2 linked regions of the Arabidopsis thaliana genome follow. The protein of the gene in region 2 interacts with the protein of the main gene of each other region in a pairwise test. Each region holds a gene or a part of one and is shown on either strand. Other genes may lie near its edges.

Evidence for each region. Proteins that work in one complex are often made in the same cells at the same time.
Region 1: the proteins of GRF11 (region 2) and AT3G13410 interact in a protein complementation assay, tested with the Arabidopsis thaliana proteins (one large-scale study listed by BioGRID).

What each region holds. Positions count from the first base shown.
Region 1 is NC_003074.8:4,359,516-4,366,930, forward strand, and holds AT3G13410 (2-C-methyl-D-erythritol 4-phosphate cytidylyltransferase), read right to left. Parts: upstream 4,802-7,415; 5' UTR 4,623-4,801; intron 4,537-4,622; 5' UTR 4,518-4,536; coding exon 4,396-4,517; intron 4,263-4,395; coding exon 4,160-4,262; intron 4,064-4,159; coding exon 4,004-4,063; intron 3,820-4,003; coding exon 3,757-3,819; intron 3,633-3,756; coding exon 3,432-3,632; intron 3,329-3,431; coding exon 3,217-3,328; intron 3,127-3,216; coding exon 2,915-3,126; intron 2,727-2,914; coding exon 2,634-2,726; 3' UTR 2,120-2,633; downstream 1-2,119. Other genes in the region: AT3G13420 (uncharacterized protein), read left to right, coding at 5,208-5,300, 5,480-5,673, 5,936-6,320, 6,669-6,791.
Region 2 is NC_003070.9:12,742,485-12,749,130, forward strand, and holds GRF11 (general regulatory factor 11), read right to left. Parts: upstream 3,265-6,646; 5' UTR 3,120-3,264; coding exon 3,053-3,119; intron 2,646-3,052; coding exon 2,339-2,645; intron 2,241-2,338; coding exon 2,153-2,240; intron 2,076-2,152; coding exon 1,966-2,075; intron 1,880-1,965; coding exon 1,734-1,879; intron 1,628-1,733; coding exon 1,578-1,627; 3' UTR 1,503-1,577; coding exon of another isoform or gene 1,497-1,502; 3' UTR 1,238-1,496; downstream 1-1,237. Other genes in the region: AT1G34770 (melanoma-associated antigen G1-like protein), read left to right, coding at 4,015-4,069, 4,156-4,187, 4,280-4,529, 4,616-4,768, 5,518-5,623, 5,721-5,835, 5,924-5,965; APRL4 (APR-like 4), read right to left, coding at 6,351-6,646. UniProt on the Arabidopsis thaliana protein: Is associated with a DNA binding complex that binds to the G box, a well-characterized cis-acting DNA regulatory element found in plant genes.

The DNA.
Region 1 (7,415 bases), on a different chromosome or scaffold from region 2:
AAGATAAGGAAAGAAAAACCTAAATTAATTTGAAAGAAATATAAAACAGTTGTCATATATTAAAGAATTATATATATTCGAAAAATAAAAAGAATTAATGAAAGAGATAAGGTTCCTCCATGCTTCTCCATCCTCATAATATTAGTTTTCTTAAGCTGCAAAAACCTTTACAGCTTTAACAGATGCCATTAAGAGATATGGGGCCATATACATATCTACTCATTCATATACATATATACACATACATCTTCACATAGACACATAAATTGCTCCTGTCTATAACGAAAATTGTCATCTTATTGTTTTCTTGAATTGTGTTTAACCTTCTTTTCCTTTGACCAAAAATGTGAAATTTGATAAAACGTTTAAACAAAATCTCCTATATTTAAATGCTCTCTAAATTAATAAATCATCAAAGAACCTTAATATTAACATATTTGAAAATTTCAAGTTTCTAATTAACAAGCTCAAAAAGGTTTTGGTTAACGACCTAGGTAAATAGATTCTGTTTGAGCAAAGACAAGCATATGCAATAAAAATTTAAGACGAGGGACGTGGTTTGAGAAACAAGACGCACTTGCACAAAATCGACCTGGTTTTGGTAAGTTGATAGGAACTATAAGTTTCTAATTTTAGGACTTACTAAGAAATAACTCACGAGAGAAATAAATGTGTGTAGAAAGAGAGAAAAAGGGACTCTCGTAAACATTTTTAAAAGAAGAAAGAATCTCAACATTTACGTGTAACCCTAGCTAGTTATCCCGACAGGTACTCGAAAGGGCACTATTAAATAAACATCTATATTTTATACTCCGTATAAGTTAATTTATAAACAAGTAATCGGTAAATAGAGACCGTCAGTTATATACATATATATATATATATATATATATATTGTTTCTTTGACAAAAATATGTGTGTATATATATACAAAAATTCACAGAAATCAGCACTTGGAATCTCAAAGTTATCGAAAAGATCAAAAAAGGACCTGCTCGAGTAGGTCACTTTTGCGTGGCCGTACATTTTTATAGTTTTTCATTATTATTAAAATATCAATTTAAGATGTCATATGTTGTTAAACAGAAGATAATTTTTTTTTTTTTTTTATAAAATTTGAAGTGAACGCCACAAGAGATTTTACGTATGAAAGCTAAAGCAAATAAAAGATGAAGCAAATTTGTTAGTTCAACATTGTTCTTTATATTTCAAAATTTGGTTGTTGTTATAGTTCAGGTAATAAATATTTGCGGGGGTGTCTGTCTAAACAAGAAAAATGGATAGTTGAGGAAAAGAAGAAGAAAATGGGTACAATGTGATGTCAGTTGGTGGAGTGGCAGATCGATGGGATTTTCACTGCTCTTTTGGCTCAAACCCCTATGTCTCATGTGCTTCCCTCTATTTGTTTTTTACATATATTTTTGTGCGAAACTGAAAATATTTTTTTCAATAAAAAACCTATACGTAATATTTCTAATCTTTAAATTTCAATTATGTGGCAGTATAGAAAACAAAGTCGTATAAATTCTATCGATAATATGCATTATATGCAAATTCTAATTCGGACGATGACACAAAAATATCGCTAGTATAAAACTAAGCTACATGTCATGGTGACATGATTTTTTATAAATGTTTGTGTAAGAAAAAAAAAGATAAACATTGTTCATAAATGATGCTTTTGAAACTTCTTCGTAATTAGACAAATACAGTCATGTATTTGTTATAGTATAAACTTTGAAAAAAACAGGGATACGAATAGTGTTATGTTAGAATAAATGTAGGAGTATGTATAGTGGGGAAAAGATGAATAGAACCATCGTTTTCGGTCATTTTGATTCTTTATACGCTTCTTTATGGAGAGAGAGAGGTCAATCAAAGAATCTGAAAGATTGATCTTATGACTTTGTCAATAGGTCCATGCAGGGACCATAAGGACCCCAACATATGAAGATGTTTTGCTAAGTATTGAATCATGGAACAAATCAACGAAATAGTCAAAACAAAAGGTCTATCTAGATAAATTATAAACTGCTAATTGCTCAATCGATATTACTTAATAATGACTAAACATGCCGAGGCAAACATTAAATTTGGATTAGAATTGCATGTTGCATGACAAAACTTATATATGTATTCTTACTATTTTCTTAATTGTTCACAAAACTATCATCTATATCTATCTTTCTATCTATCTATACAAGTGATGGTACACACACATGTCCTACCACTCTGACTCTACCGACATTATTGTCCTGAGTTTTTTTCTTCCAGAAAATCTATGTCCGAATCCCCAAATTGATATGAATACGATACTATGAGCACGATAACTCCGGAATATAATCTAAGAAAAAGAAACAAAAAAAATTCTGAAAAAGAATGTAATCCGTTCTCCAGTGTATGTATCTCTGGTTTTTTACTCGTTCTCCATTATTAATTTATGACGTTTAAGAAAGACTCACAAACAAGATGAATAAATGATACAAGGGGATTTTATGGCATATGCAGATTTTGTTTTGAAGTAATAATGTAACAAATCGACATTGAAGTACCTTCCACAATGCGCACTATGCACAAGAAAAGACTCGTCAAAAGCAAAGCAAAAGGTGGGGATGGCTCTTAAGGTCAACAGCTTAAGAATCTTGAGGAGTCTCGAATCTAGTCGGTGTATCGATACCCGCCATACAGCAAAGTCCACTGATCAAGATGAGAAGAAAAACGATTCCCTGCAAAAAGAAAAAGAAAAGGACGAGACATAATCAAAGGCTTTTACGAAATTTTAACACATTGAATTAAATTATCTTCCAGCTAGATATGACCAAGATGCTCATTAAACTTGTCCATTCTATGATGTTTATGAATCTTTCTTGAGAACGATGAATACCAAAAAAACACGAGTAAAAAGAGTAATTACCACTAGTATGCCCTCCAAAAGTGATGACTTAAATTTGCAGAGTTCATCACAGCCAGTAGCAATTTCAGGAGTACTGTTTCCTTTAGCAGTTTCAGCTAGAAACCTTTGGAGAGTTTTGTAAGATGTGTACCAATAAGGATCAGAAACATAAAGAGCTGTATATTTACTGCCGGATTGTTCTACAGAACTAACAAGTTCCAAGAAGCTTTCACCTGCAGAATAGGTCAAAGAATTGCTTAATTTCCTAGTTCTCAAATGATATCTAATTGTTAGTATTATTTTGTAATGATCTTTCCACTTACGCTCTGAATGTGACTGTCCAGCTTGACTATTCGATTCAGAACCCTCGGAACAGAGCACAACCAAGTCAGTTTCTCCTTCTTTCCTTGTTTCTCTTCTAGCAAGCAAATGATCCTGTCAATTATTAATGAGTATTAGAAAGTGAAGTTAAGGGGGTGATAACACTGGGAAGGCATGGGATTAGGGAAAATAAAAACTTAAGAGCAATGAGTATTACTTTGAAAGACTGCAAGTCTGAAAGTTTCTGAATTGTTCCATCCTCAACAAAGCACGAATCTGAGAACACGATATTGCTGACTCCTACATTGTTGGGACAAGCTTCTTTAAGCCCTGAAAGTAACAAATTCTCCATCCTTTCTTCCTCTGGAGCAGCAATATATGGGAATGCCAATGAGAAGTTGGAAGCTGTAAATAGATTCTGTTGAAACAAAGACTTGGATGTTAGAGTATTGTAAACTTTATATCAAACAACTATGTCAGAGATCTGTGTTACGGATGCAATTTCGAAATTTCTTGTTGAAGAAAAGAAAATTTGCACTTACATTCAATGTGTTAACAAGGGCAGGATCTGAGTTCCTTTTTGAAGAAACATCAGAAGACAGTAACTGCAGGCGGAAGAGAACGTGAATATTAGAATTCTCAGCATAACACAGAAGATACAGAGCAAAGACGATTAATTTCCCGCAATATTAAAACATCAGTTTCTTTACAATATCACAACAAGAAACCAAAGATCCACAAGGTCATTTATGCTAATGTTAAAACAACAATACTACATCATTCAATTACCTCTCTGCCTATGAACACAAGTGCAACATCAACAGGTTGCTCAAGCTTCTTCTCTGAGCACTAAACAAAGGAGACAGTAATGACAATAAGAAAAATCATTTGACATCCAGTGAGTTGTAGAATTGAAATCATAAGATCATGAAGAAGAAACCATACCAGAAAGTTTGACCAACCTCCTTGAGTGAAAACAGAACCAACTAGATCCTTTGCAGACATGACCTGATAATTTACAGCCTCATCCAATTCACCATTAGCAGACCTGATTTTCAGAATCACATAAACCAATCAACCCAGTAATCTAAGCTAACTCACATCAGATATCACAAGTCCCAGGCTTTTTACACATTTCCATCAATCAAATTGAGAATTATAGAGAAAACAAGATGCATAACTGGAGATGCGGAGACCAGAGGAAAGCAGGAACTGTGTTCGGAGAAGCCAATCCGATTTCAAAGAGAGAGGCCACAGATAGAAACACCAATAGCGCCACCGCACCAATTTGAATCTTCTTCATCTTCGTCGTCGAAACAATTCTACCGGAGACAAAAGGAAAAAAAATCAATCGAACAATTCCTCACGCCTAACGAAACAATCAGCAAATTCAAAGATAATCACAAACCTAGAGAGATCGAGATCGCTTCCAGAAGTCGATGTATCAGTAGATTTTTATCGAACTTTCAAATCCAGAGAAAGAAGAGATTCATATCTCCGATCTTCAAATCTGGGCGACACATATGAGTAGTCGACATGTAAGGAATTAACGGCGTCGTTTTTGAAACGAAAATCGCTAACCGAGATAACCGGTTTCGGTTATGTTCAGATATTAACCGGTCTGAAGTTTTGGGCTTGATTAGGCTTTTAAAGATTTTCCAATACGGCCCAAAATTTCGTGACTCCGTTAAGCGTCCGTCACTCTGGACAAGAAACGGAAACCTCCTTAAATCTTATAATAACTTCGTCACGATTGAACGGAATATTTCGTTTCCTCATTTTTTTATTTTGTTGCCTCTTCTGCAACGCGATCCCGCCAAAGACACTCTTTACTTTCTCCCTCACGAAAATTCTCAAATCGTCGTTCTCTCTTGATTCACCGATTTCGTTCGCCGGAAAATTGCAATTTAGCATCAGAATCGTCGAGCCATTTTGTATTATGAAAGTCCATTGAAGTAACAAGTAACGAGAGCTGCGAGGTTGAGATTTTACGATGCTTTGTGTTTCGTTACGAAATCGAATACATAATTGGCTTCGCGACTACGTTAGGCTCCAATCTGTCGTTTTGATTCTTATCTATGCTCAGGTAAATCCGTAATCGCTTTGTAGTTGTTTCATTTCCTCCGATTTCACGTTTTTTCTCGTGAATTGTTCGTATCTGTTTGGGATTAGGGTTCTACGATTTCTCTGTCGATATTTGTTTGTTATTCTTTTAATTGTGGTTAGAAGTGCAAGAAACTCATATTGATGAATCATTTGTTTCAGATAGGGTGCGCGTTGATCGGTTCACTAGGGGCATTGTACAATGGAGTCGTGCTGATAAATTTGGCGATTGCGTTATTTGGGTTAGTAGCAATCGAGAGTAATAGCCAAAGTCTTGGCAGAACCTATGCGGTTCTTCTTTTCTGCGCCATTCTTCTTGATGTCTCATGGTTCATTCTCTTCTCCAAAGAGATTTGGTATGTCACTATCCTTGGAACAGCCGTGCTTGTGATCATGATCAAATATTTGGTTTAAGAGTTTGCTCTGTCTTGTTTAATTTTCATTGCATCACATATTGTAAACTGTCCTGAATTTCTCTTGATTGGCTCATCATCTTTTTGAACTGATTGATCTTTAAACCTTTTTTTTTGCAAATCTTTGCTATGTCGTGTTTAGATTCTGTTGAGCCAGTATTCATCTGCTGCCTATAACTGACAAAAGATTTAATTGTTAATGCAGGAACATTTCATCTGATATGTATCAAGTCTTTTACATCTTCTCTGTGAAACTCACCCTGGCTATGGAAATTGCTGGGTTCGTTGTGAGGCTATCGTCCTCTCTGTTATGGTTTCAGATCTATAGGCTGGGAGCTTCTATTATAGACTCTCCATTTCCCCGTCAATCAGATTCAGATTTACGGAATAGCTTCTTAGAACCTCCTCTTTTAGCTAGGCAACGTTCACGTGATCCAGAATTACGAAATAGCTTCTTACAGGCTCCTGCTATAGCTAAGCAACGTTCACGTTCTGACGAAATCTTGGAAGATTCTATTGACGAACCTGCCTCCTACACTCCTCTGTTAGATGGCGGCCTAAGCAATATCACTTTGCCCAATGCAACACAGGTCTTTTTATTTCTACCTATTCTTCTCTTAAGTTGTTTGTGTACTCATTGTAGTTGAGGTTTTTATACTTGGTTTGTCTATGGTTTTACCAATTGGGTTTCCAGATGCTTCTTTTCGGACCTTTCTTTTGAAACTGTATGCAATATAGTGAGAATTGGATTGAACTATCTAGATCACCCAACCATGCTTTTTAGCTCTTTGCCACTCTAGGTTAGGTGAAACTTGTTTCTCACTAACAAACAAAGGCCACATAGTATTGATATTACATCATAGTATGCTGCTTTTCTTGTCTCAGTACTCCTCTAAAACTTACACAGACATAGCAAGTGGGTTTTCAACCTTTTGTAGGTGATTAAGCACCATTCAGCTGGAGACATTTACAAAGGATCCCAATCATCTGCTGCAGAAGCCTCTCGAAAGAAGTCTCCTCTATCCAGATCCTTAGAAGCACTTCATTCTAGTCTCTGTTGATAGAACATCTAATGATTGTGGACGGTACTATACTATACCTTGCTTTTGGTTAGGTTAACTTTCACACTTGACCTTTTTATAGACATAGAAAGAACACTTGTTGCTTTGGTATATCCTTGGACTCAGTAAATTGCATGTGTTTGTCAATCTACATTACTACTTGCAGCACTGCTCTCAGCTTTTATCATTTTTGCCTGGCAGTTTCCAACTCACTTTTGCAGGAAGATAGCTTTTGTCACGAGCAACTTCATTCAACAATTCTAAGGCCATTCTTTGTTTTCAATTTGAAGAATCCAGATCCGAGATTTACATAGTGGATAACAAGCAAGAACAATGCCTTTATCATCATTCATTTTACTCGGAACTGTATAGAATTGGGGTTATTTGGACTACGAATGTACATTAGCATTCTTTTCTGTACATGAAAAATAGGTGAATCGGAGGGTTAGTATAAACTTCAAAGATAGTTTTTTCATCCAAAATGTTTGGTAAACAGTGAAGTTTTTATTGCAGATTTTTAAAGTAGCAACATGATTTGCCTATGGGGAAATATTCTTTGTAATATCCGTAAGAGAATAGAAGAAACAGATATAAACATAATGTTATCATTTTATAAGATCTAAT
Region 2 (6,646 bases):
TAATAATCCTTTTGTTCCGCACATAATGTGTAAATAGTAATTTTAATTAATTAAAACAATTATTATTTACAAACTATATATCTAGTAACTATTTGTATTTGTTATGCAATCCCCTATATATTAATGGGAAGTACTTTTAAAAAATAACCTTATCTCTATGTATGATTAATAAAAATATCATGTTAACGTGTCATTCTCAGATAGCTCCTCAATCCATTTAATTTTTATTTCAACCACTTAAAACAAAACAGATTACTTCAACATAGTTTTTGTCAACAACATTGAAATATCTTTGAAATGAGATAAAATAGGTGATTACATACCACATGAGAGGCTAGTTCACTCCCTTTATTCACGAAATTAAAAACAACAACGAAAGTTATTCAAGAAACCCTTTCGTTGATACAACAAAAGGGTTTCAGTCAAACTTAGGCATTGGCGTTTCTTGGCCTCGTCTGACTAACAAACCTCCTGCAGTACATGGGACGACCATGGACAGAAAAGCAAACCTCAATCCATTTAATTAAACACCCAACATTTATTAGAATATTTATAAATTTTGTAATTTGTTGTACTTATGATTATTTTTTCAATTAATTTATGTTTTTATTTTACTCAATTAATTAAAACAACAATACAAATAAAATATGCAATTAAAAGATACAAACCTATACAAAATGGATCACCTTATATTTTGTGTATCGATTAATATATCAAGACATATATTATAAATCATGATAAACATAAATATTAATATATATGTAAGAAAATTTGATAAACATATATAGAACAACTTCAATATTAGCAATAAACTAAAATTAATTAATAATCCTTTTATTTCGCACATAATGCGGGTTGTTAACTAGTTTTTTTTTTTATATTAAAAACTTATGTAAGCAAAATGACTAAAACTATAAATTTAGATTATGTTGCAATTTAGGCTTTTCCTGAACTATATTCAAGCACCTAGCGGAGACTCTTCATTTTTTGGACGGTATGTGTGTAAGTTTCTAGGAACAGACTAAAAATGTGTTTCCTCCATTGTAGAGGGATGCACACACTCCTGAGAGATGTTAGAATTTCTTATGCCCTGGTTTCATACAAACCAGTAACAGTATCTTCGTCAATATTGAATGTATGCAACTTATTTTTGGATGGTATGTATGTAAGTTAAATTTCTAGAAACAAACTTCTTCATGCCCTCGTTTCATGAAACCAAAGGTGTTATCTCACGTCCCGTCTCCTCCCCGGTTAGGATATTTCTTTTCTTTTCTTTTGTTATATTACTATTTACGCACTCGTGCCGGTTTAAAGCAATCGGTCAAGACAATAGGACGACACATAAGTTTTCATTTCGATTAAAAAAAAAAAAACATAAATCCAAAAGAAAAAGAGGGTAACAAATGATGGTTTAAAGCAATCGTTCGCAAGAAGAGAAGTTGAAACCGCTCGGTGCCAAATGAATGTATGGCTCCGTAACTAAGTTCTCCACTTCATTAGTTCTACAAAAGGTTATGTCATGCATAACATTTCATGAAAAAAGAAGAAAGATATTAGGAAAGTGTAAAGCTTTGCTTTTAGATTTTGTTTACCTCATCTTGTTGATTATGGCCTTTAGATTGTTCACCTGCAAGACAAAAGAAAAAGTATATAATAAAGCATTCATTTAATACAAAGTACTATTATAAAGTTTTAAAGAGATGTTGTGTCTCGTGTATTGTTTAATTACTTACCTCCTTCCTCTAGATCAGAGGTCCATAAAGTGAGGTTATCTCTGAGAAGTTGCATGATAAGTGTGCTGTCCTTGTATGAATCTTCGTTAAGACTGTCAAGCTCAGCGATTGCTTCATCAAACGCTCGCTTTGCCAAATGACATGCTCTAAGGGATTCAAGAAATTTTCAAAACATGTTTATAACTTGGATGTAGTTTAGCCTGATAGGTTACTTGCTCTTAACGGACAATACCTTTCCGGAGAATTCAAGATCTCGTAGTAGAAGACAGAAAAGTTGAGAGCCAAGCCGAGTCTTATTGGATGTGTTGTAGACAATTCCGTGCTAGCAGAACTCGTTGCAGCCTATATTTAAACAGAAATATCAGCTTTCTTTCCTAGCTATTCAGCTAATTGATCAAGAGAAAATATGACAAACATACTTCATACGCCTTGAGTGATAGGTCCGCAGCTTCCTCGCGATCAGCACCGGACTTAAATTCAGCCAAGTATCTGAAATAATCTCCTTTCCTAACAACAACAAACAAAATAATCAAAAACCAATTCAAGTGTGTGTCATATACTTTCTTGTTTTGATTTTAAGTTTTTAATTCAAGAATGAGACTAACATTTTGTAGTAGAAGACGGTGGATTCTCCCGAAGTTGCGAATGGGACAAGATGCTTATCGATGACAGCCAAAATATCGTAACAAATCTTGGAGAGTTCTTCTTCAACTTTTGTCCTGTAATCCTTAATCCTCTTGGCATTTTGTTCGTTTCCTTTCGATTCTTCTTTCTGCTCGATCGAAGAAAGGATCCTCCACGATGCTCTCCTAGCACCAATCACATTTTTGTAACCAACAGATAAAAGATTCCTCTCTTCAATGGTGAGCTCTACATCAAGAGCTGCAACTTTCTTCATTGCTTCAACCATCTCTATTTACAAGAACAACACAATAAAGCATATTACTCATCAAATCAACTCCAAATAAAACAAAAGTAAATTTTTTGAATTTGACTTATATCATAAAGTACAACAATCCCATTTTTTTAGTTACCAAACTATGAGGTATATCAAGAAATTTACATTTTAAACCTTTTTCATCGCGTAAATAATAATCGAATAATCTCCGATTTTACGCAAGGAAACAAAGAAAAACTATATAGAGATTCCAATAATCCAAAGTCGTTCACAAACTCTTTATTTACTTGATTTCTAAGTAACCATTTTTTACAGTCAATACATTTTCAGACAAAAGTATGAAAGGACAGATCTAACAGAGTTTTAAGAGATTACTTAGAAATTTCAAACATAAAAGAAACAAGTACGGTCTTTTGTTTACCATCGTATCTCTCAGCTTGCTCGTTGAGTTTCGCCAAGTACACTTGCTTCGCTCTCTCGTTCTCCATAGCTTCTCCTTTCTCTCTTCTCTCTCGAATTGAGACTTTTGTTCTGATCAAAAACTGCTGTCACGATATAAAAAGAATTTTGGCGGTTTGGTTTAAGACAGGAGAAGCAAATCAACGGCTGAGATTAAGTCTCTAGATAGTGGAGAGCCTCAAATAGTGATAACAACGAATCTCAACCGTTGGATTTAGATGTTTGGTGTGCCCCATGCTTCTTTGTTTTTTCATTGGTTATAATAATAACTAGGGGTTCAATCCGGATAAACCGATCTGATCTGAACCGAATTATTCAATCCAAAAACGGAACCACACTTTCAATGAATTGTTTTTAATATAATTTTCCTTTGTACCTTATACAATGATTTTTTTTAAAAAAAAAATCACATATGTCTGTTAAAAAAGTTATTAATGTTTAATTATGCATATATTATTTTCTACACTAACTAATAACAATTCATAATATTTAAATATTTTCACATATTTTTTTTTGGAATTTACAATTTCTAAAATAATAATGAATGCATTAAAAAAATAGAACATTTATTTTTCGTGGAACAAAAAAACCATTAATTGTTGACAAAAAAAAGTCATTAATCTCCAAAGAATAAATGGAATATATATAAAAAACCGAACAAAATTTAAACCAAACTGAAGAATAATAGTCAGATCTTAAATCAAAATTTCGTTGAAATAAGGATTTAACAAAATCAAAATCAAAATTCAACCAAATTATCTATTTTAGTTTGATACCATTATTTATATAAACCAAAAAATCTATAACACAAAAACCAAACCGAATCTAAACCGAAATACGGAGTCGAATAACACTTGTACCCACTCTTAAAACCGTCTCAATGAACCAGAGACTGTCTCGTTTCTCCCGCCAATTGATAATACCATGAAATTAGGGTTTACGAAGCTTTTAATCGTCTCTCCTTCCCAATTTCTTCCAGGTAAAAATCTCTCTAAAACATTGAAATTCATCGATTCATGTGTTTAATTTGACGCGAATTTGATTTCAGAATGGCCGACGAAGAAGATTCTCTCTCTCAATTCGATATATCCAAAGAGGTAACAGATTCAATTTTGGGAATTTATCGGAATTTTGATTTCCGAATATGATTTGGTATTGAGATTGATTTTTGAGTTTGATTTGAATGCAGGAAACGGATAAGTTAGTTTCAGAGGTGATTAGATTCATACTGTTCAAGTTTCACCAAAGCTCAGGAACTCCAATTAAAAGAGAAGATTTGACTCAGATTGTTACTAAGAACTATCGTCAACGAAATCTCGCTACACACGTGATTAACGAAGCGAAGAAGAAGCTCTCTAATGTCTTTGGTTATGATTTGAAAGAACTTCAACGTGCTCGTTCTTCTTCTACTGGTCAATCTAGGCTTCCTCAGTCACAGAGTAAGATTTTGGCATTTGTTTATTAAGAAGCGGCTGCACCGCGTCTCGGCGATATAGCTAAATGTTTGTTTTCGTTCAATTTTTAGGTTCTGTTGACTCGAAATCGTATGTGCTTGTTAGTGAATTGCCGTTGGAAGTGTTTAAGAAACATGTTGTGGATGAAACCACGAGTCCTGTGACTGGCTTTACGTTTGTGGTTCTTGCCATTGTGCAGCTTGCAGGTGGTAAAATCCCTGAAGGTATGCTGTTACTCGGTCTCTTACGACGATCTTTTTTATGGTTTCGATGTAATGTTCTATGCAAAGTGGTAGAGTGGAAGTCAAAAGTACATTATAGAGATTTGTTTAAGAACCTAAAGTTGTAGTTAGAGAGCAAAGTTGTAGAGTAGAAGTCAAAAGTACATTAATTCGATCTCTTACGATCTTTTTTGGTTTCGGTGTAGTGTTCTCACAATTCTGGGAATCATAGTTAGAGAGCAAAGTTGTAGAGTGGTAGTCACAAGTACATAATATAGATTTGTTTAAGAACCTAAAGTTGTAGAGTGGAAGTCAAAAGTACATTAATTCGATCTCGTACGATCTTTTTTGGTTTCGGTGTAGTGTTCTCATAGTTCTGGGAATCATAGTTAGAGAGCAAAGTTGTAAAGTGGAAGTCAAAAGTACATTATATAGATTTGTTTAAGAACCTAAAGTTGTAGTTAGATAGCAAAGTTGTAGAGTGGAAGTCAAAAGTACATTAATTCGATCTCTTACGATCTTTTTTGGTTTCGATGTAGTGTTCTCACAGTTCTGGGAATCATAGTTAGAGAGCAAAGTTGTAGAGTGGAAGTCAAAAGTACATTATGTAGATTTGTTTCAGATCCTAAAGTCTCTATGATGAATTAGTTTTTAGAGTGAAATCAAGAGTATATGATAGTCACACACTTGATTTAAGAATTTGTTTGTTGACGTCTTTTTTCTTGCATCTATATGTTTCTCAACATCCTTAGAAACCCTTTGGCATCATTTGAAGCGAATGGGATTGCATGAAAATGATGAGCATAATCCTGTGTTTGGGAACAACAAGCAGACCCTGGAGACATTAGTCCAACAAAGGTGAGACCTTTCGTTAACCTTGTGCATAACTCTGCAAGGAATAAACGACTGAGGTGGTTTTCATAGTTCTTCTCAAAAGGTTTCGTCCTTTTTACAGGTTCTTGCAGAAGGAGAAAGTAAGTGGCCCTGAGGGTAGTACTTTGTTTTACGATCTTGCAGAGAGAGCGCTAGATCCTCAAGTTAGCGAGAAAGTAAAAGATTACATTTCACAGGTACTACATAAAGAACATACTTCTTCTTTGTTGATTTTAATCATCTATTTTCAGCTTTGACTAAGATTTGGTATTATGTGAAATGCAGATCCTTAAGAATGATGTAGCAGTTGTAGAGCTTAATGATTAGAGGAAGATTTGGCCTTAGAGACTTAACCAAACAGATTGGTGCATGTCTTTGACTCATGTATTTTGTAAAATTGCCTTGATTATGCAATGTGAGATGTGAAGTTTCTTGAGAAAACAAGATAAGCAATAGACCAATTCTGATATAATATTGACAAAAAAATATGAATTTGACTTTTATAATTTTGCCATCTGATGACATATACACTTCTACTACAAAATGTTCAGCTATGAATTAAGCCCTCTCCAAAGTTGTTGGTCTAGAGGAACACTGCTGATTATACAGGACAAAGGGTAAAACTTTAACCTGAAAAGCTGTAACAGAAACATGATACAGCCAAACACATTTTAGCTGTGACCATATTTGCTAAAATTATAGAATTATGAAGTCACTGAGAAGATGAACTTCTTCTGTTTGATGAGCTTGAATCCCCAATTGAGACAGTGGCCAAAGACTTAGAGGCCCATGCTCTAGCGTTCATAGCCCCTCCCTGCAGATTGCTTCTTCTATGCATGCATAATTGTACAGCTCGGCTTAGAAACCCGACGGTATGTTCTAGCAGGCTTTCTAGTCTCATGTTCTGAGCAATCCGTCTCCAAGTGAACTTCATAAACACGACGAGTGTAGGATATATCAAGTGAAGCAATCTCAACAGGACGAATACAATGGCAAGAGCTAGATAGG